4 linked regions of the Saccharomyces cerevisiae S288C genome follow. The gene in region 3 interacts genetically with the main gene of each other region. Each region holds a gene or a part of one and is shown on either strand. Other genes may lie near its edges. The genes, in order: VAN1, APS3, AIM26 and PSP2.

What was found.
Region 1: mutations in AIM26 (region 3) and VAN1 together harm fitness more than expected from each alone (negative genetic interaction), as found in Saccharomyces cerevisiae (one large-scale study listed by BioGRID).
Region 2: mutations in AIM26 (region 3) and APS3 together harm fitness more than expected from each alone (negative genetic interaction), as found in Saccharomyces cerevisiae (one large-scale study listed by BioGRID).
Region 4: mutations in AIM26 (region 3) and PSP2 together harm fitness more than expected from each alone (negative genetic interaction), as found in Saccharomyces cerevisiae (one large-scale study listed by BioGRID).

The regions. Positions count from the first base shown.
Region 1 is NC_001145.3:37,493-46,486, forward strand, and holds VAN1 (Van1p), read right to left. Parts: upstream 4,303-8,994; coding exon 2,695-4,302; downstream 1-2,694. Other genes in the region: NAB6 (Nab6p), read left to right, coding at 1-155; ATR1 (borate transporter), read left to right, coding at 704-2,332; TAF8 (Taf8p), read right to left, coding at 4,551-6,083; DAT1 (Dat1p), read left to right, coding at 6,553-7,299; CTK3 (Ctk3p), read left to right, coding at 7,571-8,461. UniProt on the Saccharomyces cerevisiae protein: Involved in regulation of the phosphorylation of a number of proteins, some of which appear to be important in cell growth control.
Region 2 is NC_001142.9:395,431-398,110, forward strand, and holds APS3 (Aps3p), read right to left. Parts: upstream 1,163-2,680; coding exon 1,141-1,162; intron 1,064-1,140; coding exon 501-1,063; downstream 1-500. Other genes in the region: RRN7 (Rrn7p), read left to right, coding at 1-81; PET130 (Pet130p), read right to left, coding at 1,925-2,680. UniProt on the Saccharomyces cerevisiae protein: Part of the AP-3 complex, an adaptor-related complex which is not clathrin-associated. The complex is associated with the Golgi region as well as more peripheral structures.
Region 3 is NC_001143.9:362,629-370,221, reverse strand, and holds AIM26 (Aim26p), read right to left. Parts: upstream 858-7,593; coding exon 501-857; downstream 1-500. Other genes in the region: UGP1 (UTP glucose-1-phosphate uridylyltransferase), read right to left, coding at 1-331; RGT1 (Rgt1p), read right to left, coding at 1,105-4,617; PTM1 (Ptm1p), read right to left, coding at 6,029-7,593. UniProt on the Saccharomyces cerevisiae protein: Involved in selective mitochondria autophagy (mitophagy).
Region 4 is NC_001145.3:234,706-243,496, forward strand, and holds PSP2 (Psp2p), read left to right. Parts: upstream 1-1,882; coding exon 1,883-1,886; intron 1,887-2,248; coding exon 2,249-4,026; downstream 4,027-8,791. Other genes in the region: YML018C (uncharacterized protein), read right to left, coding at 66-1,247; PPZ1 (salt homeostasis regulator), read right to left, coding at 4,753-6,831; TATA-binding protein-associated factor TAF11, read right to left, coding at 7,284-8,324; TRM9 (tRNA (carboxymethyluridine(34)-5-O)-methyltransferase), read left to right, coding at 8,520-8,791. UniProt on the Saccharomyces cerevisiae protein: DNA polymerase alpha mutation suppressor. Suppressor of group II intron splicing defects of a mutation in MRS2. May play a role in mitochondrial mRNA splicing.

The sequences.
Region 1 (8,994 bases), on a different chromosome or scaffold from region 3:
GAAAGAAGAAGAGAGGATCTTTTGCAAGGCATAGAACGATACCAGGATCTGACGTCATGGCCCAATACCTTGCACAAGTGCAACATTCGACATTTATGTATGCAGCCAATATTTTGGGCGCCTCTGCGGAAGACAACACGCATCCTGACGAGTAGTATAGCTGTGCTGAGCCTGAAGTATAATGCATATCCATCGGACTATTTAGACAAAGCCCAAGGAAGCCTAAGGCGGCCTGCCAAGGTGTTTCTCCCTTTTTTTCTCCGATTTCTTTGTATAAACTAAATAATATAGTGATTACTAATGGAATGGCGGTATTATGCACCTAACCTGTTCATTCTGCCACAGATTACGTAAGCGATTTATTGCCGGCACTTGTTGTCTTAATGACCGAGTCACCAATGTGGAACGATAATTTTCTCTGACTCAAACCTGTTAATTTTTTTCTACTTCGTTTCGTTAGCGACGACGTCAAGCCGCAGGATCCTGTCTGCCTTGACCTCTTCTCTACCTTCAGAACTTACACTTTTCAGGTAAGATGACCTTTATATAAAAGTTGACACTATTACAGTTGTTTATAAACGTCTGAAGAATGAGACGTTTTTATAAAATGAATAAAATGCATATTCTAAGTTTAAAACAACATTTTCAAAGTGTACGATTGTAAAAAGAGAGGCAATTAGAGAATCTCAAACAGGTAATAATAATGGGCAATCAGTCATTAGTTGTGCTTACGGAAAGTAAGGGTGAGTATGAGAATGAGACAGAACTACCTGTTAAAAAATCGTCACGAGATAATAATATCGGAGAATCTTTAACAGCAACAGCTTTTACGCAGTCTGAAGATGAAATGGTAGATAGCAATCAGAAATGGCAGAACCCAAACTATTTTAAATATGCATGGCAAGAATATCTTTTTATATTCACATGCATGATAAGTCAGCTTCTAAATCAAGCAGGCACTACACAGACTCTTTCGATCATGAATATTCTTTCGGACAGTTTTGGCTCAGAAGGAAACTCAAAGTCATGGCTGATGGCATCTTTTCCGCTAGTTTCAGGCTCATTTATTTTGATTAGTGGCAGACTAGGTGACATATACGGATTAAAAAAAATGTTGTTAGTAGGATATGTTCTGGTTATTATATGGTCTTTGATTTGTGGGATTACCAAGTATTCTGGTAGCGATACTTTTTTTATTATTAGTAGAGCCTTCCAAGGGCTAGGGATTGCATTTGTTTTACCTAATGTGCTGGGAATAATTGGTAATATATATGTAGGTGGTACTTTTCGTAAAAACATCGTGATTAGTTTTGTTGGTGCGATGGCCCCTATTGGAGCAACTTTAGGTTGTCTTTTTGCAGGACTGATCGGTACCGAGGACCCAAAACAATGGCCATGGGCATTCTACGCGTATAGCATAGCCGCTTTCATTAATTTTGTGCTCTCCATATATGCCATTCCGAGTACTATACCAACAAATATTCATCATTTTTCTATGGATTGGATTGGTTCTGTTTTGGGCGTGATAGGTCTCATTTTATTAAATTTTGTGTGGAACCAAGCTCCTATATCGGGTTGGAACCAGGCTTACATCATCGTAATTTTAATCATTTCTGTGATTTTTCTTGTCGTTTTCATCATTTATGAGATTCGATTTGCCAAGACTCCACTATTGCCGCGCGCAGTTATAAAGGATCGTCATATGATTCAAATTATGCTGGCTTTATTCTTTGGATGGGGCTCTTTTGGCATCTTTACGTTTTATTATTTCCAATTTCAATTAAATATAAGGCAGTACACGGCATTATGGGCTGGTGGAACTTACTTTATGTTTTTAATTTGGGGTATTATTGCCGCCTTACTGGTAGGATTTACTATCAAGAATGTGTCTCCATCAGTGTTTTTGTTCTTTTCTATGGTAGCATTCAATGTGGGCTCAATAATGGCAAGTGTTACACCGGTTCACGAGACATACTTTCGTACTCAGTTAGGAACGATGATAATTTTAAGTTTTGGGATGGATCTTTCATTTCCTGCTTCTTCCATTATCTTTAGTGATAATTTACCGATGGAGTACCAAGGCATGGCTGGGTCATTGGTGAATACTGTTGTCAATTACTCCATGTCCTTGTGTCTCGGTATGGGTGCCACAGTAGAGACACAGGTCAATTCAGACGGAAAGCATCTTTTGAAAGGCTATAGAGGTGCTCAGTACCTTGGGATAGGATTGGCAAGTTTAGCATGCATGATTAGCGGGCTTTACATGGTCGAAAGCTTCATAAAAGGCCGCAGGGCAAGAGCTGCTGCAGAATACGATTGCACTGTGGCTTAGCGGAAAGCGGTTATTAAGGTAAATAGATAGAAATACACCGCTGTCATGCGATTATATAGACATGGGGCATTTAGACACTGAAAGTCTTCATATCTCAACATGCAACTAGTAATAGTACAATTTTTAGTACCCTTTAATCTTTATTGTTCGCTCCCTAATAACGAAGCCTTGAACTGTAACCAGATCCCAGGTTACCCCTTATCCTTAAGAGGTCTTTTATTTACTCTACATAATATATATTTTTCAATCCATTGAAGAGGATTAAAAGAAGAAAAATCAATACCGAACAAAAAAACAAAACGAAATAAAACAAAACAAAAAATTAAATTAAATTAAATTAATATTAAATGTCATCATGATTCTTACTCTGATTGTCTTCTCTTCTCTCTTTCCCTTGACGCAATTTCCTTCAAATCGTCATCGCTCGGTTCATAAATATGCCAAATAGTATAATGCGGTAAACCACCAACCCTGTACCCCATTTTCTTTGCCATTTTACCAAATGCTTCTGTTTCTGCATGATTTTCAAAAGTAAATGCAGGAAACTGTACCCCGTTTCTAAATATTTTGGCCTTCGCCAAAATAGAAACTCCCCCTACACCGTCCAAGTCCACCGCTTCATTTGGATCACCTTCTGCATCTCTGATATAGGCTAAGTGAACTCTCCACGTAGGATATTCTGCATAGCCTTCTACAATAACATCATCTTCGTCAAGAGTCTTTGCCAATGCTAGTGCCTCCTGAGATTCCATCCAAGAATTCAAATCATATGGTTGTTCAGTTCCCAAAAATGTAGGTAGTGGTCTCCAAACGTTAGGGACGATAACATCGTAGTTTTTGCTCATCAAATCTTGAATGACTGAACCAGGGCACAGCTCTACATCAGCATCTCTCCAATAAACCCATGAGTGGTAAGGTTTCAAAGCATTGGCAGTTAACCAATTTCTTGCCCTCCCCATTAGTTTTCGTCTTATACCTTGAACCTTAACGGCATGTCTGTCACTAAAACCTTGTCCAATTACTTGGCCAAAATCCTTTTGGAAAATTTGTACTGATCTAAATGGCTTGTCATAATTTTCATGGAATGGTGGTGAAAATGCCTGGTGGACACGGTTGATATAACCTTCGTCCATATATTTAAGATATAATTTATCGGTGCCTTTTGTTTGCGAATCAATGACAGCGTCAATCTCTTGAAAAATCTGAGACAACGTGCCATTTTGTAAGTGCCTAGAATACGCTATTAAAGCATCCAACGTAGTGTCACCTTCTGAGCAATCACTGACTAAAAAGGCCAGATCAATCAGCTCGTGTGGATAGGTTAGGTTCATTAAATGCTTGAACATTAATGGCAATACATCCGCAGCGTTTCTTAGTGGAATGCATAAAAGAATGTGATCACGTGTTTCCAATCCATTCGGAGCACCTTCAAAATTCGACAGGTCGTACTCCTCAACAGTGGAATCAAAAAGCATGTTGAGTTCCCTTTGGTATTTTTCATCATCCTTGGGAGTCAACACTTCTGAACCAAATTGTGATATTAGATAATGTTGCACACCATCATCAAATTTTGAAATCACTTCAGGATCGATATCCTCAAAATCATAGTCGTAATATTCTTCATCTTCTAGGTCGATAGTCTTGTAATTTTCGGAGGATTTTGAGGAACCCAACAACGACCTACCATTTTGCGTGGATACACCAATGCCCATTCCGGAGAGAAATGATATAAAGAGATATAACGACAGAACGGCGATAATAATAAGAGATGTGATACTCACCGTAAGCTGGAATTTAGACGGTGTGGAGCGCGGCTGGTACCTGTATTTGCCCTTTAATGAGTTGGAGTTATGCTCTGAGCGTTTGTCCTTGATGTTGTTCGAGCTACCGTTCCTTGAAATGGGCAGGCTTAGTCCATTGTCCATGGCTTTCTTCTTTATATTTGACCTTAAATTAAAAAACATGCCCATTTTTTTGTGTTAATTGGTAGGTCAACAAGCTCAAATGACTGTTACTGCACCCTTACGTCTACTTCTTTCACGTTACCATTTACTAATTTACAAGACGTAAACTTTCTTTGATTCTAAATATTTCAAGCCTTGTTTCGGTATAGTCGCCGAAGAACGAAAAAAAAAAAAAAAAAAAATTCCTCTCCGGAGATAAATTGAATACGTATTATTATATTAGGGACAAACACTGGTTCACTGAAAGCAGTTGTTTACATAGTTATATCGTGATCTGTGGCTATATCTGCAGGAGGAGATGTCGGGGCGTTTTCATTAGGCGTCGAATGAGGAGAGTGACTTGTAGTAGCATCGATATTGGTTGTGTTATGTGCTACAGGTGTAGTATTTGTAGTATCTTGCGCTGTCATTGTTGGCGGTTCCGATTCCGCGACCAGGTTCTCCGCAGGCATACTCGACATTTCATTCTCATCTTCACTGCTCCCTAAGATGCCAAATAAGTTTATGTCATCGTCCTCATCCTCGGCGTTTGTGTTGATAACTATGGTAGAGTTGTTTAATGCATTAGGGGTGGTCGTGTCGTCTGCAGCGTCCCTTGCGTGCTCGTTATTTAGTAGAAGCTCAAGATCATGGCCTTCATCTTGTTCCCTCTTTGTTCGTTGTGAAATAAGCTCTTCTTGCCGACGTTTTAGCGATTTTGCTCTTTCTTCCTTGGCCATTCGTATTTTTTCCTTCTTCAACTTCTGGACCTTAGGTAAATTGTGCATGAATAGTGTCATAGACTTACGAAATTGCAATTCTATGGTTTTTTGTATGGTTTTGTGAGACTGGTGAGGACTCTCTGGAAGGTAGAGAGTTTCAGAAATTTTCAAGAATGGATTTTTTGTTCTTTTCAACTGATTCACTTCAAATTTCGTGACACGTTCTCTCGCCAATTCCACTCTATACTTCGCATACTGCTCGATATTGTTTTCATTGAAGGACTTTTCAGTTATGGTTGGTTTCCTTTCTTCCAGCGCGTTGCCCCAAATCTCCAATTGTTGCTCGATAGCGTCCTCATCGTCTAAACCCGGCGGTTGCGGGGTATTTGACGCTGATGATATGTGGGAGAGACTTTTGTTCAAGTTCAATAGTGCCTTTTCAGACTCTTGGCTTTCTTTTACTATTTCTTTCTTGATGGTTTTTAGATCAGTAATTGGATGGTTGAACTCAGGTGTAAACTTATAGGTATGGTCAGGCGGAAAGTTGGGCAGCCAACTCGGTATCTGTTTTTCCAGTGGGTTAGAGGGAGGCAGCAAAACGTTGATCTCGTTCTGTTGCTCCTCGATATTATTCAATTCGTCCTCTTCATCTTCTTCGTTATGCGGTAAAGCAGCAAGAGACGACCAGCTCATCAATTTTTCATATTCCGTGGAATGCTTCGATTTGATGAATTCTGAGGCCTGAAACTGCTGATAAAGGGAGGGCGCATCCAGGTTAAACTCTCGAAGCAACAATTTCAAATCTGCTTGAGAAGCTTGCGACCTTCTTTGTAAAAGTGTTAAATTGTGCAGGTTCCGAAACATGCCGTCCATTTGGACGGTCACGAGGTTGACCAGCTCATCCAATGCAAAGTTTGAAATGCAGATGTTCAACGAATTCAACTGGAAAAGTACTGTTTTCTTTAGAATTTCAACTACGGGAGCATCTATTTCCAAGTGACTAATTTCCGTCAAATCCGGTAGGTTCCTCAGCTGAACTATGGTACTTTGGGTACCGGTACCACTTTCTGACGTTTTGGAAGTCATTGCCCTTTATGAGTCCCTCAATTACACGTTTGTTTGCTTGCTTGCCTCTCTCTCCATTGCTTTTACTCTCTTTTTTAAAGAGTTCAAGATTTTCTACATAAAAGCATCGGGTAACACTCCCATATACACCATTTGTGCTTAAGCTGGCTTCTACCAGTCGCGTTTCAAGCGACTTTATTGATCGCATCAGCGTAGAACAAGAACAGAACTATGTATGCAAACAGGACTAATCATCTTCAGTTATCTTACTTTAGTTTGCAACTATTTATATCATGTTTTCTTTTCAACTTCTTTTTTTTTTTTTCGTTTATGAAGCCGATGCTAATGCATCAATTTTTTTTTTTTGGTGATGAGTTTTGAAAGAAAATGAAAAAAAAAAAATTTCTATTATTGTCAGTGGAGTTTTTGAACAGATCACCTTGTGAATCTACAAACTGTCCTAAAGTATATTGGAGCAGGACATTGGGTGATGGCGAAAACTTTGGCACAAGGAAGGAAACCTGGAAGCGGCAGAAAGCCCGGAAAAGGGAAGACGTTGAGAGAGGGAAGAAAGCCTGGCAGTGGTAGGAGGAGGAGGCAAGATACTGGGGGTAAAGAGACCGACGGGTCTCAGCAAGATCAGGAGTCGCGTCTTATTAGTTCCAGGGACATGGAAGCTGTGGACGCACTGAGAGAGTTGACGCACAGCCCGTCGTCTCACTCAGCTCATAATTCATCAGCAGCACCACCGCCGCATGCAGCAGCGGCGTCAACTTCATTGCCTCCATCTCTGGATTATACCCATCAGTCATTCATGGATCAACAACAACAACAGCAGCAGCAGCAGCAGCAACAACTACTACAGCAACAGAGAGTGGACGTCGTTCCGCCCAAGCCGTTCATCACCCACAAGATCCTGTTATCTTCAACGGGAAACTCTGGCGGCCACGTGAATTCAAATTACAACGCCGACCACAGCATTAATCATAATTCAAACCACAACCTTAACAGCAACGTGAACGTGAACATGAACTTTACTATAAATGGGAGCAATCAAGACCCGTCATCTTCTTTCCTGATGGGGCCCTACAACTACTTACAGCGGCCTTTCATTGTGAAACCATATCTTGATCTGTCCACAAGCACAGCAGCATCAAATCAGCCACGGACGCAACCATCGCCGGCAGCACATATCACTAAGAATTCCGATTCTACAGAGAAAAACGCAACCATATGACATTCATTTCCAGCATACCACTAAAACATTCGTATATGCCACATAATAACTAGTTGAGAAAACCATAGATATTTATATTTATATGTATTTGTACTTCTTTGAGCAATGTATATTTAAGACTGATCTCAACTTCAGCAACTGTTCAAATTCACTGTTTTTCCTAATTAAGCACAACATGAAAAACTAGAATTTTAGAAAGAAAAGGAAAAAGAATACCAGATGGTAGTTAATTTCTCACAAAAGCACTGCCAGGTAAAGGTATACAGCAAGGATGGACTCTCTTGAAGCTAGATTACAATTCATTCAGGTCCTGAAGAACCTGCAAAAGACGCTGCACAAGACCAGAGACTCTATCACATCATCGTCGACCACCACACCACCGTCATCGCAACAAAAGCTGAACAATGACCCTATACAGTTCTACTTGAGAAACTACAGACATCACTACGAGGACTTCCACCAATGTTTGTTCGATACAACCATGAAGATGGACCCACTAGATAGACTGGACGTAGTGATATACTATGTTAGAATAATAAGAAACTTATATCCGCATAGCCATTCCAATACCAATGTTACAAAAGTGTTAAACGAAGTGCTACTCATGGACATAGACTTGGTTTTTGAGCTTTGTCTGCCCTGCCAGGACTGGAAATCCCTCACGAATCAAGCCACCTGTAAAGAGCTATTCCTTGACTTATCCAAACTAATCCATTACGACGCCACCAGCGTCACGCACACACCATCAGACACCACACTCATAGACGCTACTACCTGGTACAGTGTCAAGACAGAGAGGACTACAAAGGACTATAAAGAATCATTGCAACGAACGGAGTCTCTGCTTAAGGACAGAGACTTGAAGAAATTGGCTTTCTTTCAGCAGTTCAATTCCGATACAACTGCGATCAACCCGGACTTACAGACGCAGCCAACCAATGCAAACATTTTGTTGCACAGGATGGAAGCAGACAGGGAACTGCACAAGAGGTCGAAAGAGACAAGTTGGTACATCGAAAGGCCCTCCAACGATATACTGGATGAATCCGAATTTAAAAGCTTGTGGACGCATTTTGAAACTACTGATTCCGGATTTGATAAGGACGATTACAAAAATATCAAGGCTTTAAATGACATTGCGAAGGCATCTTACATATATTAGTACCATGACGTTATATATATATCTGTGAAGAGAATCCGTATCTGTATTATATATACGTATATACGTATCAATGCGCGTACAAAATGAACTTGTCTTTTTCTTATCTCGATTTCAGGAAAAGCAAACTATTCAAGGTGAAACGGCGGCTAATTTTCCTCTAAGTTACTTTTATTGTAGTCCTCAACATGTGCAGACGAATAAACTTAACACGGTTTGCAGAGTGTGTTGTTGAGTATAAAACAGTCAATTTCTGTGGACCTGGCCGTAGCCTATTGCTGAAAACACACAAAAGAGGAGTTTGACGAGACTTAAAACAAGCCAAGGAAAATACCATGTTAGACTACTCCCTTCATTCGATGGTTTTACGCCGCATTTCTACACAAATGAATTTACATTCGGGCTGATATGGTTGCTACATAAGCGAATTTAAAATTTGAGAAGGTTCATTGTTGCCTTGTGGTTCGAGCTTAAAGATCATAAAGAACCGCGGGGAATTTGTCTAGTTACAAGCTGGAAAGGACTGAGCAGAGGAA
Region 2 (2,680 bases), on a different chromosome or scaffold from region 3:
GTGGATTTTGCCATTTCTAAAGAGCAACTGAAAGACTGCATTTCAAGGATCAAAAATGCCTGTCTGCATAGGATGAATTGACTCCTTTTAAATTATTCTCGCTGGATTGCTATTTCTATGCATACTCCTTGAATTACATATACCAATCTGCATATATTATAGGTACATATTAATATAGAAATGTATCCTATTTTACATTGTTTCTATAACTTTTACATTATCAGAACTTATTTTTTTCCTGTCAAAAAGAAAGAAAACTCATTCTCTAGACACAGCGAGATCTTACTTTTCCTAACGGTGTGACCATATTGTACGTACAATATTATCTATGTTTTATGACCAGATCTAGTTTTAAACAGAATTTTAAAGGGAGGGTGCCTAATTTTGTATTATATATTAAAAAAGCTGGGAAATGCCCGGCTCAGCTAATTTTCTTCAAGCCGGTTTTACGTGCAGATCTTGACGAACGAAAATAACCATCATCCGATTAATTTGTTTGTTTATTGCCCCGTTGCCCATTGTGCAAATCCGCCTTGAGCAAACGCTTGTAGTGCGCTTCCAAATCCAGTGGACGTTAGTCTTCCAATTTTACTATCTGTGGACTCGGCAGCTTTGTTGAGTTCGTCAACAGAAGCAACTATTCTGTTCACATTTGTTTCAATGACCATGCCCCCCTGCACGATTTCTTCTAATACACTTTCCAAAGTTTGCCAGTTAAAAATCAAATCAAGTTCATTGACTTCAGTAAAACAACGGTCCAATGATTCCACAAAAGTTTGGATCAGATCTAATATGGCCAGTTCTGATTCTTGATCATCCACGATGAAAGTGAAATATAGTGTAGCGTAGTTTTTATAGATGATTTGAATATCTTCATTGTTTACCTCATCATTATTATTTTCATTGCTTAACAGAAGCGATGGTGGCGTGACTAAAAAAGAACTTTGAAAATCGCTATTCCTTTGAGAAATCAATTCATATACTTGCTCTAATAGCAGTTTTTGCTTTGGAAGGTCGACCGGCGTGTAGAATTTCACTAATCTTGGTTGGCATTTCTTATTGACTATACCAAAAATGATGAATTATGTTAGTAATGTATAATTTTGGCAGAAGAAAAGACCCTTGAGAAATCTTACATACATATTAGAACTGCATGAATCATTGTGTAACGTTATATGTGTTCTGGCCTCTGTAACCCAGATCTGGTATAGTTACAACAGAAATGATATTGTTCCAGTGGACTATTTAAAAAAAATATACTCCTACAACGTAAGAGAAGAAATATAAAAAAGAAATGCGCAAGCCCGGAATCGAACCGGGGGCCCAACGATGGCAACGTTGGATTTTACCACTAAACCACTTGCGCTTACTTTTGATATGAATCTTTCATTCATACTCAATATTAATAAGCAAGATATTTTTTGAAATGAAGAACCTTAATCGAGCCATCGTATTCAAAAAGAAAGAAAAAAGACTGAATGAGAACTATTTTTTTATTGCCTTATAGAGAATTACTTGAGACTTTTTTTTTTTGCCTAAAATATATGACTTTATTTTCGCTTGGCCTTTCTTACCTCGTTTTGTGATTACTCATTACTTACATCAGCGTAAGCTTTCCATATCTATAACATTTATGAAAGTGGAACTCCTCATACTCAAAAGTTATTGCTATCCATTTATATTGTGATCTTACCATTAAGATATATAGCAGATCATAATGGCTTGATTCTAATACTCCTCGAGTATGACCATGCAACGGTTCAAAATCCCGGGTTGTAAATATTTCTTTTATCACGAAACATGAGTGACAACCACTTAGACTCGAAAGTGACGTTCTTGTATTTGCACATTCGATGATAAATATTTAAAACGTATATGTAGATACATAGTGGACAGCAAGAGAGATGCATGGTTGGCCCATTTCTCAGCCTTCTGTTTGTTCTCTTCTTAATTCAAATGGAAACTTGTTGATCTCGAGTATCTTGTTAATTGTTTGAACGTTTATACTGTCATTGAACGATTCTACCCAATTTTTGCCTTTCGTGCCTTTTTTTGGGGTCAAGAACCCATCCCAATCCAAATTGGCAACCTTTTGAACGCTTCTATTGACCTCGTCATTAAATTCTCCTAACATATCTTTATCAGGAAATATGCTAACAATGTATAAATAATAGCCGTCCTTTGCGGTTCCCACAGTACTTCTACCAAGGTTATCTAAAAAACTTTTCTTTGGCTTGCCCTTCATGCTAGCAGGATTAATATTTGGAGATCTGTTAAGATTAACGTACTCTCGAATGGCCTTATCACCATTTAGTTTACACCACTCCTTGATAAACGTTGTTTTCACCTTTAATTTTAAATCTCGTCTCAAGTACGCAAATTCAGAGGGAATACTGTTTCTATGTCTATTTGTAAGCCGTGTCATCGCTGTTTGAATTTTGCTTAGTTCGACTTCATTAGCTTTTGATATCCTAGTTTCATTGAAATATTCTTTGTCCTTGTTGAAAACCTTCCCATTTAAATAAAACTTCTTATTGGATTTTACCGTTATTGCTGGTTTACTTTTTCTAAAACAAGACATAAAATGGTCTTCAGGGAAGTAATGAAGTTGAAAGAATCTACTAGTGTATACCAATGAGTTAGGGGAAAATTTTTTTCCAATCGTCACATAGGCTTGGAT
Region 3 (7,593 bases):
CGTTCAACTTCAAAACAGCCAATTTGGAAAGGTTTGAGACATTCTCGGGCTGCTGAGAAATAATTTCATACTTAACCACTTCATCCGGGTTGGGAGACTTGATCTTGTCCCATTCCAAGGTGGTTCTAGAAGACTTCTCTACCAAATATCTCCTGAAAAGCGTGAAAAACGAATCCAGTTCGTTCTCAAACTTAGCGCGAGCAGCATCGTCAAGTTTACTAGAGTCCGCCAACTTGTTTAAGGCGTTTCTCATTTGTGAGGCAGCAACGCTGTTTGTGTTGCTCTCGAATGCATAAGTGGAATGTGTTTTGGTGTGCTTCTTAGTGGACATTATTATGTTATGGTACACTTGCTGTGGAAGTTATATTATATAATCGGAAGAGGACTAGGCCTTTTAACGTTGCTGATGTGGAAAGAACCAGAAATTGAATCTCCAACTCCTAAAACCGTAACTTCAATCTCATGGTACCTGCTGGAAGAACTTTGTTGTTTGTTTAGATTTATATACTCAATCCAAAACAGGGAAAGGAAATGCAAAAACGGGCCGAGCCCAAACAAAAGAGGAAGCGCGTCAGGCTGTTCGAGAAGGGGCGGGGGAAGGGGATCAGGTTACAAGACGCTGTACAGGGATCTGTGTGAGAACAAACCGACACCAGAACTTTGGACTTTGCAAGCGCCGGAATTGAATCTGTAGCAATGGCAATGGCAATAGTGATGGCACCAGGTGTAACAGCAAGCCGGCGGTAGCAACGTGCGTAATAAGGACTTCTGCCCCTGAAAAAGTATGCCAAAAGTAGGAGAAAGAAAGACCCCTTTAGCTGTGAAAGAAGAAGGTGCTCCCCGCCCATTGTCTGCATGCGCCCCTGAGCTTGGCGACTCTCGAATACCGTGGAAGATGGTGGAGCACCAGAGTAAAAGGCCGTGCGCACTCTGACAAGGCAGTATTGTTACAGGTTAAAACAGCTAGTGTGTATATGTGTAAGTAAGTATTATTTATGTGTTTTACTTAAATTGGTCATTCATTGCATGGTAGTTCTTTACGCGAATTTCTGCCTGAGGAGAAGGGAGAACCTGACCTACAGGAGAAGGGAGCATAGTTACCTGTCAATACCAGCCTAACTCGGAATCGTCCAACAGCTTCCAGCCGATACTAACGAAATTTTCCAGGGCAACGTTCTCAAGCCTGGGTTCCTCTGCGGCTACTGGCGCCGTTGTCGGTTGTGTACCAGAAGTACGGCGTTCATCAAGCAATGTCTTCATGACTGATGACTCGCGGAGGCCTTGGCCCGACTTTGGCCACATGACGTCGTTTCTGGTCGTGGACGAAAGTCCTCCTGTCAGGGACATTATGGGCTTATTAAGCTCGTGCTCGAAGATCTTGAATGGCTTGATCATTGTCAGCACGCTGGTGATTTGAACTACTTCATTCATCGAGTTTGACAGCTTCATGACCAGGTCCTGCGACTTCTTGGTGTCCTGAGTATTCTGCGTTGTAGTTGCCGTCATCATAATGCTAATGAGTGATGTAGGCATCTGCTTGACCAGTTCAGTGATGTTGTAGACCTCGTGCAGGATAGCAATAGCAAAGGGGGAAATTATCCCCCGGCAAAGGTCTGAAAGGATAGTGCCAGTGTCTTGTTTCAGGCCTAGTAATTTCTTGTAAAAATCTGGATTCCCCTCCGATGGAGGTGCAGCGCTAAGGTTCCCAGCGACTGGAGACGAGCCCATAGCAGATGGGCCCTCTTGCACTGTCGGATTATTAGCGGGTGGGTTCGGTGGTCTATAATTAAAATCAATACTGTTCGTAGGATTCAGTCTTAATATCAACGTCAATACTTGCAAAATTATTGATATCAATGAGCACAGAGAGTCTGCTATTTTCGAACTCAAATCCAATGTCAAATCTGAATAGACTCCTGCTTCTGAATCGTATAATGATAATAAGCAATTGATGAAATTGTGTTTGCCAATTAATAGCTTGCAAAATAACTGTGCTACGGATAGAGGTTGAGTTTCCACATATTCCGATAAGAGTGAAGACGAGTTCGTAATATCGAACCCAGGCTTCCTATTGCCGTTCATTGATATTCTATTCCTGGTAAGCTCACTCATCAATTCACCCAATTTCAAGCTTTGCAAGACGCTTTTCAGTCTCAATTGGCTTTGTTCCAGGCACCATTTTGAGCCCAAATCATTAGAAAAAAATCTTTCTGTAGAACCTTGGATGGAAATGTTTAATAGCTTGGGACCACCGAATGCACAGCTTTGTAAAGAATCAAACACTGAAAGCAAAACGTATAATCTTTTAAACAACACTGAATAGTGACTAATGTTTTCGTCCATGGAATTTGGTGAATTGGATGGATTCATATGCCCAGCACTTTCAGATCCAATTTCAAATTCGGACGTTTTTGTATTCCCATTACCAGTGCTGACCTCTTCATCAACTGGAGGCTTCACATCATTTATATCCGGCTCCGGAAATAATAGAAGTTTGTATAATTTAAATTCGTTAAAAATTGTCACCGACATTCCAAGTACAAATGAGTTATCGTATCCAACAAATGCCAAAATGTAATTTAAAAGAATAAAAGTAGATAAATAAATGACTTTGATCTTCGGCGAAATTTGGTCGTTGTTTTCTCTGAATTTGGGATGAATATCCACGATTTTTTGGAAACATTCATTGAGGGCGGCAATAAAAACGCTTTGCACTTCCAAAGTATCCTGTACTTCATTATGTGAATCACGTCTTGTTTTTTCAGCATCATCCCTTGCCGTGGCTGTAGTGAACCCAGCTTTGTTGTTGTCATTACTTGGCGACAAAGCCACGCCAACAATATTATCGAAAAACTTGCCACCTGGCTTTTGTTTCAGAGCAACACGAACTAACAATTCCAATGAATTTCTAAACCACAAAATAACATATGAATTGACTTCGTGTATATTGGAAATTGGCTGTGTGTTAACTAACAATAAGTCACTGGTCAAGGTCGTTTTGTTTAAAGGTATGATCGGAAATCCTACATGTATGAACTCATAGTAGGTGTCTATTAGATCTACATCGGATATCTGTCCATACGCGATAGTTGATGAAGTGGTCATTGGGTGAGCAGAATCTTTCGATGTTATAGATATAGATGAATCTCTCTTTGGTTTTGTCTTCTTAGATACGTAACTTTTTCTGCGTTTTTTTGTACTTCTCTGTGGCGTTGATCCAGGGCTGGATGCTTCCAAAGCCGCTGGTGTAGTTACAGATTCTTGGGAATGTTGAGATGTATCCTTAGAAGAACCGCTATTATTGCTGCCATTATTGTTGTTAATTTCACCATTATTATTCTCATTACCATTCAGCCTGTCCGTGGATAATGTTACTGATACGGGGGCTGATTGTCGCCTTTTATTTCCATCCAACTCAGATGAAAATTGCGGTACCTGCTGTCCTTGAGGTCTTTGTGTTTGCTGTGCAACATTTACGGGGTTTGTAGATGTGCTAGTAAACATGGCAGGTGCACTGGGAGACATAGCCTCGCTGGCGACTGATCCTTGTCTAGAATGAAAACCATTAGCAGCGAACTGGCCAAAAGATGATATCGATGGGTTGTACGGTTGCTGCTGGGAAAATTGAGAATACGAGTATAGGTTCTGTCCTTGTTGCAACTTTTGTTGGTGTGCTTGTGGCTGCGATTGTTGCTGAGGTGGGGGAAGCTGAGGCTGGCCACCTAGTAAAAGAGAATTTGAAGTATTTCGTAGCAAAGAAGGTATGGAACTTGATCTTCTTGTCTGTTCCCCATTATGATCATCAGTAGGAGCTAGTAAACCAGAAGTTCTTATAAAGGACCAATAACCACCACTACCAGAGGCACTGCCTGAGCCGGTGACACTTCCGTTTGCATTTCCAGAATCATTAGTATGTTTATTCGTTATGGGAGACTGTTGAACGGTGTTATAAGACAACTGCTCGTTGGGATTTAATGTTCTTACCGATATATCACTTTGCAAAGAATCGATAGATCCTTTTCTTTGGTGTTGAAACTCATGGTAGGGCACTTTCCAAAACTGCTGTTGGCCAATATTACCCGCGGGCATAGTTGATTGTATCGCTGGATTTTGGAAACTAGGAGGAATGCCACCAGCCTGGGGAATGTACTGTGTCAGTGGGGGCAATAAAACTGAATTAGATCTCGAAGGGGTACTTGGAACTGTGTTACTGTTTATACCGTTGTCGCCGCTATTGCCCGTATTATTATTCAGGGTATTGTTACTATTATCAAACGTATTATACGACCTTGAGTTATTGTGGTCTTGTATTTCGTTAGTCCTTGGATGGCTGGTGCTCCTCGTATAGCCTTTCGAGGGTCCCCTTTTCAAAGGAACCCTATCAAAACTACAACGGTCTCCATTCCTTTGGCAGTTTGAGCAGACCCCCTTTTCATCTTTGTAGTCACATTTAATCTTCTTTTTACGACACTGATCGCAGGCCCGGGAGGCCTTTGTTCTTTTCTTTATTGCGTGACTTGCTGCTGCTGCGGAGTCCATATCGTCGGGACTATTGGATGTACCACCGTTCTTGGTGGAGTCACTGGAGTTAGTCGAAACAGTGTTCAGCTCGTTCATAATTTGAAATATATTGGAGTTTGAGAGAAGAGTACAGCTTCTTGACAAATGTGAGAATCGAAGAAGCGTGTTATTATTGCACCAATGAAAATTGCGGGAACGGTTCTGCACAATATAGTACAAGGGAGAGGCGATTTCCAACGAAGTCTATGGTGAAAGAGCAGAATATGTTGGATGGACAATACTCCAGTCTCAAAACTCCAAGCACGGTTCCTAACTGATGTGTTCTTATTTTGACTTTTTTTATTTTTTGAATTTTTACTAGTTGCTACTATTTTTTTTTCCTGTTTTTCCTTAAAAGGTCCCTTCCCATAATCGTCTTGCTTAGTTAGCTACATGAAAAAAAAGGAAAAAACTAAAGGAAAATGCACAAAGCAGCGACATATTTTATGAATCCAATACCTGCCATTTCAAGAAGCTCGGATTATTGGTGAGGTGACGTAGCTTTTGTTTGATGTACTGTTGATTATTCGTCTCTGGTGCTCATAAGCCACGTCACAGAAAACGATAAACGATGTTAGCGCACATGCTACATGACTTGCCAATCGTGGTAAAGCTTCTGATGAAAGAACCAACTTGCGGAAGCGTGCCCATAAAATGGTCGTGCGGCTTAACGAGCAATCACACCGAATAAAGTGATCCCGTAAAATGATATTCTACTCGGATGATCCGTTCCCTAGGAAGCGTAAGACAAGTAACTACAAATGTTGTCGCATGTATATTCTATTACTCAGAGCGTTTGACAAAAAAATCTTCTCCCTTTCATTAAAAACGAATCGAAGAGCTGGGTTTATAGCATTGTCACTAAGGACGTGGTCTCATCATAAACAAATAGAATATACATGTTATGTTACATAGGAAAGACCGAAAAAGCCAGAGAAAGCTAATAAGGTTAGCACTGATGCAGCGCGCAACCTTACGTTATCTGGCTTCGTTGTTCATCCTTGAACAAAGGGAATTCCTCACTTCTGGTCTTCCTGCGTCTCTTCTCATAAACAAGTACACATGAAAAGTCTATGGACCAATTTTCTCTTCCATTTTATAGTCGATGAACAGAAACTTTTCGCTTGTTTCGGTTTGATATAAATCATCTTATCACCGAAAAAAAAAAAACTCCAGCGAGCGGCTAAATAAATACAAAACGAAAAAGTTAGGTCTAGAGTATAGCATAGCTTTGGTGACTACAGTTATAAACAGGTAAAAGCACGCACAAATAAATGAAAAGAAACGTGCAACGCATTTATTTATTTATTTATTTATATTCATATTTATATTCATATTCATATTCACATCGCATTGAACAGAAGTGCATATGGTTCATAATTTCTTTCTTTTCGCTTGTAAACATTTCGTGACTGCCCTCGAAGAAACTATTTGTCTCATCACCTAATCAAATCTGCTGGAGGTAGCGTTATTTTGTTGGAGAGGGAGACACTGGCCCGTGGCCTTGGCTATGGTTATTTACATTATCGTGTCCTTCTTCATCATCAGTAAAATTCAAATTGAGGTCATCCTCGTCTATGCCACGCTCACCAGTGATGATACTTGCGTCATCTTGATCGTCAAACGATTGCAAATCGCCCAAGTCAAAGTCCGCGACATTTTCTGGGTCTGTGGGTAGTTGTTGGGATGCGGCTAGCATGTATGAAGTATCTGTTGGTCTCCATAAGAACGCGATGGTAACGAAAACAATGAAATACACTAACGTAGGCCAGAAATCAGTAACGAAGAACCTTGACCTCCAGTTCTTCTCAATCATATCAATAGTGTTCATGCCAACGTAAATAAATGACGAAACTATACTACCAGCTAGTACACTCAAAAAGGACGCATAAATGATGTATAGTAGCTTCTTGTACATGTTCAATTTTACGATCTGCCTTTGCTCTTTCAAATAGATAACTGTTTTTGTCATGGATCTAATAATCATGTAGTAAAATATGATTAATGCAAGCGCCATAGGAATCAAGGTGATCAAGATTAGTGGAGATGGTGCCTCCATGTCGGTCAAATAACTTTGGATCAAAAATCCAATGCAAATTGCATAAGTTAACGCACCATACATTTGGCAACGCCTCATCAACGTTTTATTCAACTTAGGGTACACGATACCGTAGCCCAAAGCGATAATCAATAATAGGAAAAATGAAAATGTAACTTTACCAGCCGTCAATATCGACAAGAACACCATATAAACTTTTATTCCCGCAGTATCACCTTTTTCATTTTTCAAATCATAGTAAGCCCATACAAATATGGTTTCTGCGGTTAAAAATACAAAAAAGGCCAGCAAATACTTTTGTAATGGTAACAATTCATGCTTGTGCTTCCAGAAGGCGAAGGAATATAACGCCATCGCCACAACGTATGCGACCGCCAAAAGACCATATAGTGGCAATTTGTTGATCTCGGTGCCCGCAAGCTGACCATAAGCATTCCTGAAATTCACCACAGCGTTGAACTTGGTAGACGTCGATGATCTGAACGCAGTAACACAATAAAATCCGGTTTCTTTTATTGGGTATCTAGTATCATGAAGGCCGACCTCATTTTGAGAAAACGTCATGATTGGATTGGCCAAAGATCTATTTGTGGAAGTATATGGATCATATACAACATCTTGAACAATAAACTCATCACGATTCTCCTCTTCACAAATCCCGATATCAATTGCATAATCATCACAAATATAATACATTTCTTCATCCGGCAATTGCACACCTAAGTGCTCAAAGTCTTGGAAATCATAGATTGCAACGACTAAGCCTGGATCAGACTCATCACTCAATCCACTTATTTTTTTAAGATTGAATGATATAAACGGGTCTATTTTGCCCTTCCAATCTTCTTTGGAATACATACCTGCGCATACTTGATAATTCTTTTGACTTATCTTTTCCTTGTTAGCTTTTACGAACACTAGAAGGTAGCATAAGAAGCAGGTGAATAATTGGAAAGGTCGGCAAAACTGATATA
Region 4 (8,791 bases), on a different chromosome or scaffold from region 3:
TTCTGACTTTGAAATTTAGATGCTAATAGTTTTTTTTATTATTTCTATTTTTTTTTTTTTTAAGATCAGTTGTTTGCTGCTGGCACCTCCACTGATTCGTAATTGCTAGCCGTTATTGAGTTCTCAAAATGTTCCTCCTCAGAGCTTTTGTTAATGATGAAAAATGAGCCTAAGATGAGGGTAGCACCAAATAAATAGAGCGCAGACATGGTTTTGTGCTTAAAGATTACATCACCAAACATTGCTAGGGGTATCGTTATGCTCAATCCTACGGTGACGGTTAAAGGACTCGTTAGTAACATAGCCTTTGCCCAACAAAAGTCGCTAACAAATGTGATGAGACAATTGACGAAGATTATTACCACAACTTTAGGATCTTTGGGCAGAGAGAATGGTTCCCAGCCAAAAAAGTCCAATACAATCAGTGATGGCCATAGAAAAAGTAAATTAAAGAGACCAACAAAGCCAAAAAAAATCTTCATGTTAACACGAGTCTCATCTCCGACTTCTCTCTTCAATAAAGTACTGTAGACACCGTAAAGTACAGCACCTGCAAGTGCCAACAAGTTGCCTATCAGAACTTGCACGGCATCGTTATCATCACCACTAACGTCCGCGATATGGCGTTGGTAGCGCTGATGAGAATCTGATTTGGTGACCATGATTATGCCTACAAAGGAAATGAACGACCCGAGTACTTTGGACTTGCTCAACGATTCAACATGACAAATAGCACCTATGAACAAGGTGAAAAAGGAAGAAGTAGTGGAGAGGATTGTCTGCGATGCCACCGATGTGAATGCCAGCGAGGCATTGGTCACAAGGTTAGCTGTGAACCAAAGTATGCAGAACTCAGCACTTAACTTGATTGTTTCATATAACGTTAGCCTCTTCTTTTGGTTGGCATGCGTGCCTGCTTCAAGGTTTGTAAGCAGTGGGCTAGTCATATCAACCGAGCGATTGCTATCACTACCAGTACCTTCTTCCTCCATAATTAGTTCGCGGTGAACGTTTGCACGGCCTGTGTCCTTGTAATTCACCACAACGGCCTTTGCAGTTGGAAAAAGATAAAAGATAAAGGCGGCAGTATTGGTGTACGTGATAAAGAATGGTTTTCTATACGAGTCATCCTCGAAGATCAAATTTATCAGGAAGGACGATAAAACCCACAAAATAATGACTAGACCCAACATCAGAAGACCCAAGGTCCACCTCTTATTAAAGGACGTTTGATCCTTCGACACCATGGCTCTGTTGAACTTTTATCTGAGAGAGGAAAAAAAGGAAGGAAAAAAAAGAAGAAACTTCCTTTATTTATTTGTCTTAACCACAACACACAATGCAATAAGATGCAATATAATATCAAAGCCAATATCTTATGTTGCTGATCCTGAGAAGGAATATATACAATTTATGTAGTAAAATACCTTTTCTTCTGCGAGTTGCAAGAAATAGAAAAGACTCCGATTGCGCATCGCCAGAATAAAATTTCACAACCACACTTTTTGGCTGAACTTTTTATTACCTGATTAAACAGAGAGAGAAAAGGTAGAGGTCAAAATTTTTTAAGCAAAACTAAAAAAGATGCAAAATCACGTGCTGAAAATCTAACATAAGGGTTAAGATTAGAGTTTTATAGGACTTGTTTTGTAATATTTCAAATACGAGCTAACCCTACTGATTTCAATTAGGTCTAATTTAGGGTTGAGCTGCACTGAAATTTCGGAAATTTTGGGTTATTTTAAATGAGACAGAAGAACTACAGAGATACGTTCTTCAGACTTTAAAGCTTATCTCCACAAAGAATTGGTCAAGAAATCATCCTAGAAAAACACGTTTGCTCACTCGATCTTAATCACATAGAGTGCTGGAACGGGAAGAAATGGGTATGTGCCTCGGTTTTTCTCATTAACCCCTTTTGATCCATAACGGTCCTCTTTTGTTTCCTTTTTTTTTTTTGTTTTAGTATTTTATGTTTACTATTTTCTTCTGTTTCAGTCATACGTAGGAATTATTGCATGAAAGAGGATATAATATTCATGTGGATTTTTAAGAAAATAGATCAAGTTTAAATAGCCACTAACAATTGAACAATGCTCTCTCTTGGCCTCTTTTCTTCTTTTTTATCGTTTCTCTAAAAATCAAGCTGATTAGACATGGTCTTGCAATGTTTTTGCTTTCTCTAATCAGCTTGGTTTTCCGCAAAGAAGAGAAAGTCACGGAATTGTCTACATATGTTTCTATTCAGGAACAAATAATACATCTAATAATAATGGCACTACGAAGAAAATGTCCCTAGAAGAATTTCTAGGGAACGACACTTTAGGCGAGTCAGTATGGGATGAGGAAGATATTAATTTGGATGCTATAAGCAATACTACGAATATTGACATCTTGAAACAAACCAAGGCAGGCGAACATCAACGTGATGGTCACCAACAGCACCCACACGGTGGTCATGGACCCATGAACAGATCACGTTTTTCTAATGCAGGGCCTTTTGGTGGTGGTAGCATGGGGGACTTTGCAAATCATCACCACCCGCTGCAGCATCAGCAAGGTCCTCCTTATATTGTGAAGTTTTCTGATTTACCACCGAGATTTTCCAACTTTGACATTGAAGATCTTTTTCAAGCAAAGTTTACCAAGTTTATTAAGTTCAAACTGTTTTGGGAGATAAATAAAAATCCAAGTATTTCTACTTTGAAATCGGGGTCAATCTTTGATCAAAATTTCAAACGTGACTCGAAGGTAGCATTTGTCGAGTTATATACATCCCGTGATATGGACAAAATTTTGAACTATTGGACCACTCCTTTGAAGGAAATTTACCACATTACAACAGCGCCCGCAGAATTCGAAGATTTTAAGGATTACAGCACGAAGGTGAAATTATTAACAGACCCTAAAGACGATGCTGGCAAACCATTCATTACTAAGACTCAGCGGTCAAAATCCAATCCTTTTGGAAGTGCTAAACCGGTTGATACGCAATCGAAGATTTTGGACATTGAAGAAAAAATGGAAAATTTACACGTGGAAGATACAACAACCCTGAGGGCATCATTAATCCCTAGTAGTGATTCTATGGCAACCACTGCAACAGGCAGCAAGATCACAATCTTGAAAAAGCAGACACCTACAGAGGAGGAATCACATTCTGCAACCCCAACTCCCAAACCTTTAAGTTACTCTGAAGTAGTTGAGAGATCTGTGGTCAATGAAACTTCCAAGAAAGGAACTCCATTAAGCAAGCTTGACTCACCAGCTCTTGAACTACAATCTAAGCCCGATAAATCGGACGAGTTCAAAGGTGGCGATGAACAAGGCTTTGAGAAAGGTGGCGACGATAAAGCTCAATTAGATGTCTCAAATGATAAAGATAAAGGTTCAGAAACCGATGTTGATAAACAGTTCACTTTCAAGAATGTGGAAAGGGAACATAGTATGAGCAGAACCAAATATAACGGAAACCATAATAACAATAATGGCAATTTTAGAGGGAGTAATAGATATCGTGGAGGCCCCAATGGCAGCAGTTATAAAGGTGGGCATAACAATCGTGGTAATCGCGGCGGATATCGTGGTGGCAGCTCATACAACAACAACAACAACAACACTAATGATAATAATAATAATAATAATAATAGTAGTAGTAATAATAATAACGGTTCAAGATATCATGATCGACAAAACAATGAAGAAGGGTTAACCTCGGATTCATCTTTAGATGCCTCAGGAAATAAAAAGAATGATTTCACGAACTCAACATCCAATACACAACAATATTCCATTTTCAAACCAGCAAGTGGGTTCCTTGGCCAAGGTAATAATGATTCTATAAGGAACAATGGACGCGGTAACTATAACAGCAGCGGTATGAATGGAGGTTCGAGAGGAAGAGGATTTGGCAGAGGAAGGGGATTTGGCAGAGGCGCATATAACAATCGAGGTAGTCGTGGTGGACGTGGAAGCAGCGGTAACTACTCCAACTACAATAACAGAACAACAGACATGCCTTTATGAGTCATGTACTGACCCATTAATTTTCTTTTCTCTTTTTTTTTTTTTTTTTTTTTTTTCCTCTATTTCCTTTTTTTGTTCTAGTCGGTTACGCAGTTCTGAGTAATGTAATATAGCGTTCCTTTTCCTCTCAGATTTTTTTGACCTTATTTTGTTTCCACTTTTTACTACTTATGCTGCTTTTTGTCCATTTCCCCTTCAGTTGTTTTGAATTTTTTTTTTAAAAAAAATTCGTCTTTCTGATTAATCAATTTTGATTATATATTTTCTCTTGATTAGTTCACAATTTTTATAGGCCCTTATTTCTTAAAGAAGTTTTATGAAGTTTCGTAAGTATTGGGGGGGTTGAAAATAATCTCTCACGTTATACGCAATAAAAAATTAAAATTAAGGAGAACCAATCTATAGAAACGAACCATTGAATTTAGCTATATGACTATATACCATTACGTAATTTATATAAACAGCTTAATATAGCGAAAGCAAAGTAGAACGAAATTTCGGAGAGTTCTAGATTGTATAGAGCGAATGAGCATTCAATACACACGCGAAGGCAGTAGGCGATGAAAGGAAGTTTTTTAATGTCATTAAGAAAAAGATAGGGAACTTCTATTTCCTGTCTTTCATATATATATATATATATATATATATATATATGTGCATATGTACATCGTTGAGTTGTTCATGAAATAATGAATATAATACTTCTGGATTTTTTAGTCAGTAAATTTACTGTTGAGATTCGTTATCATTTGTGATGCTTGTTTCCATCATTTGCTGTTGTTGATTAGCCAGTTTTCTTTCCTGTCTACCTTTCTTCATAACTTGCTTCAAAGCTGCACTATCTAGTGGATCTAACAATTCAAAAGAGCACAATAAACCTTCGCTGACGCTCATTACAGCCCCCCAATTATCAAATTCACCACAATAATTTGGCGCGGAAAACACCGTAACGAGACTTCTATCATTGAAAAATTCATAACCGTCTTCCACAACCATGTGAGCTCTACAAACCAAATCAAACCCAAACTTGTTCAAGAATTTGTTAATTGCCACCTTATTATAACAGTAACTTACACCACGTTCGTTATCCTCCCATTCGTTGGGTGAATCTGTGGGATCGGACCACAAAAGATCATTAATTAAGCCAAAATCTGGTACATCAGTAGGCCTAACTACATGTCTGATTTCATCCATAGAATTTAAAACTGGCGACAATCCACCATGAACACAAAAAATCTTTCCGGCTACGATAGCAGCTAATGGTAATGTATTAAAAGTATCGATGAATGTCTTCCAGATCTTGATGTTACAACGACGTTTACATTCATCATAAAATCCATAAACCCTTGTGACGTTAGCACATTCATGGTTGCCTCTCAATAAAAAGAAATTTTCAGGGTATTTTATTTTGTAACAAAACAATAGTAAAATAGTCTCCAGTGACTGTTTACCACGGTCCACATAATCACCTAGGAATAAATAGTTCGAGGATGGTGGGAACCCACATTTGGTAAAAAGCCTTAAGAGATCCCCATATTGGCCATGAACGTCGCCTACAATTTTTACAGGAGGTGATAATTCTAATAAGGAAGGTTGAGAAAGAAAGATTTCACGAGCCTTGATGCAAATCTGTAAAATTTCATTGTTCTTCAAACAAACATTTTTTGTTCTCTTAGCAGCGTAGCCCGCATCCAGTAATTTTTGGATAGTTTCATCAATATCGATAGGCTTTTTGAATTTTTTTGGAGCGTTTTTGTTTCCGGAAGATTGCATTATATCATTAAATTCCTCATTCGGATCTTTTTTGCTATCTGTTATATTATTATTTTTATCATTAACATTTTCCATTGATGCATGGATATTACTCAATTGAGATGAATTTTCAATGTCATCATCATTGCTGATGTGTTTGCTCGGGTAAATATCGCGACTTGAATGGTGATTCAATGAGGAGGTTGAATTAGAGGTAAAGTATTCACCAGAGTGATCTGTTAGCTTGGACAAGCCTGGAGAGTTTAATGGGGTGCTGTATGCGGTATTACCATCTGATCCAAACGAAGATTTCCTACTGTGTAGCGAAGATGCATGAGAATTTGACCGGGTTAATGCCTGAACGAGATAATTCTCCTGATTGTTAGAGGAGTATGATCCATTGTTAGGCTCTTCATGGGTCACATCTGATTTCCTTCTTGACACTGATCCGCTTCTTATACTGGACGGACGAGAATTCGAAGATCTAGAAAACCTTTTAGTGTGCGAGATGTCGTTGTCTTTATCATCATTGTCATCATCGGTTAAGGCGTTCTCATAATAGGTAGATGAGTATGAAGATTTATGCTTGGATACGTGTGTGCTACTATTGTTTGTTTTTAAAATGGGTGACTTGGGTTCCATTTGGATCATTGAAGGTGGTAAATCAGCAGCAGCCTTAGTATTATAACTTGATCTTCTAGAAGTAGAAGGCCTCTTAGTAGAGGATGATGAAGGAGTAGTTAACAATTCGTTTTGAGAATTTGAATGCGAGTGTGAGCTAGATGGGAAATGGTAACGATTCGTGTGAGAGCTATGTCGTTGGTGATTAACCTCAAGATTGGGCTTTGATGGAGTGGAGGGATCAGGGACGTTTGAATTAGTATTCGTAGTGGACGAAGAAGGAAGAGATCGCCTTGATCTTGAAGATTTATTTGATTTTGCAGACTTCACAGAATGGGAAGTCTCGGTTCTCGACACTTGAGGACGAGGATTTCTCGAGGAGGAATTCGAATGTGAATCCTTTTTCGAAGATTTTGAACTTGAATTACCCATTTTGAAAAGGAAGGAAAGATAAGCAGAGAGTGGTTGATTTGTTGTTTTATGACAAAGCCTCTAGGGGAAAAGAAGCGACTATAACGATGAAATAAAAATAAAACGATAAAGAAAAGTATAATCAAATGTATTCCAAAGAAGTACTTTTATATATAATCTTTATATTTAACTTGAAAGAAAAAGATTTAACATGTATTGCCAAAACAAACAAAACTAATAATGGAAGCTATTGTATTGTGCTTTTATGTTACCCACCTGCCAATGGTTCACAAGAGAAAGCTGATTAACAGAATTAGAAGATCTGCAGTAATCGTTTTCTTTTTTTTTTTTTCATTAATTTATATGCTATCCTTTTAAAAATAGACATGTCATTTCAAACGACATGTTAAAAATTATATATATGTTTATATATAGATTGATATATGTTGGAGCCGTTGGACAATTATGGGCAGCTATCTGAACATGGATCCCTGCCCTTCTCCTTGAGTTCTCCAGTAAGCGTTAGGCAAAGTGTCCGACTGCAGACGGTAGAGTCTCCACGCCTCACGGATGTGTTCGGGCAATAAGGGACTGTTGTTATATTTCTCGATGCTTACATCTAGTTTGTTGAATTGGAGGACGAGCTTATTGTACTGCTCGATGAGTTGTAGCTTCAAGTCCTGTGAATTATGGTCTGATTGCTGTAAGGATTTGGACTGTAGCAACGAGTTGCCCAGCGTAGTTTCGCGCTTGTCTACTTCTTCATCGTCGAAGTAGAAATCAGGTTCGTCTTCGGGAACGCTATCGGATTGATAATCTTGCTTGTATTGCTGGTTTTCTATGATGGAGAAAGTCAATTTTTTTAGATATTTTTTCAATTTATAGCCTATTTTGGTCCTCTTATCAAACTCTATGCACATTTGACTTGTCAACCACTTATTCTTCACAATCATGGCCAATTCGATTATCTCACCAGCGTATATTTTTCCCACCGCTTGCAGAAAAACACGAATATTTTCACTTATAGTTTGATTAGCTACTGTGCTAGCCAGTTTTTTGACCTGGGTTTTGTTTAGGGATGTTCTATGGAAAACTTCAAACCGATTAGTTTGATCTTTATCCAAGTTGGTTACCAAGAGCTTGAATTGTTCGTCCTGCGCAAGTTTTTCATTTTCATCTTCGTTGGTATTGGTGTCTTCGTAATTGCTATTTTGTGTTTGCTGTTGTAAAATGTCTTGTGGAAAGATCAGGTTTTCTGGGACTTTGTTGATAGAGTCCGGGTCTTGCTGATTTATCCTGGTTTTCTGGTATTTGTATTTTGGATATTTATTTAATTGGTTGTTGATTGATGTACCACCCGTTCGCAGGTTTTGCAATTTCCACGTAACGTAGTCCTGGTCCTCACTGATGACTTGGTCAATCATTTGTTTTGTGGAAAAATAGTTTGCTATTGTCAGTATTGGCGGATAGTTCACTTTCGGGATGGTGTCCAAAGGACCTTGAGGTTCGGTCATCGTTGCGCTGTTGAAGCTCAAACTTACTTTGTGCTCTTCATTTATATGGATAATTATCTCTATATACCTCTTCTTGATTTTTCAATTTCTTTCAACTTTTCAGTCGAAGAAATGGGAATAAGAGAAAAAATTCGGTAATGAACTGAACAGAGATGAGGTCTCGAAGAGCCAAGAAATAAAAGGTTAAGAACCAACATGGAGATAAACCAAGCGGCTGAAAAAGAACAGGAGTATGTTCACAAAGTGTATAATGAGATAGCTCCGCATTTCTCGCAAACTAGATATAAGCCATGGCCCATAGTGACTCAGTTCTTGAAGACTCGCCCAATGGGTTCCATCGGTATCGACGTCGGGTGTGGCAATGGAAAGTACCTCGGAGTGAACCCTGATATATATATTATCGGTTCAGATCGCTCAGATGGTCTTATTGAGTGCGCCAGAGGAATAAACCCATCGTACAACTTACT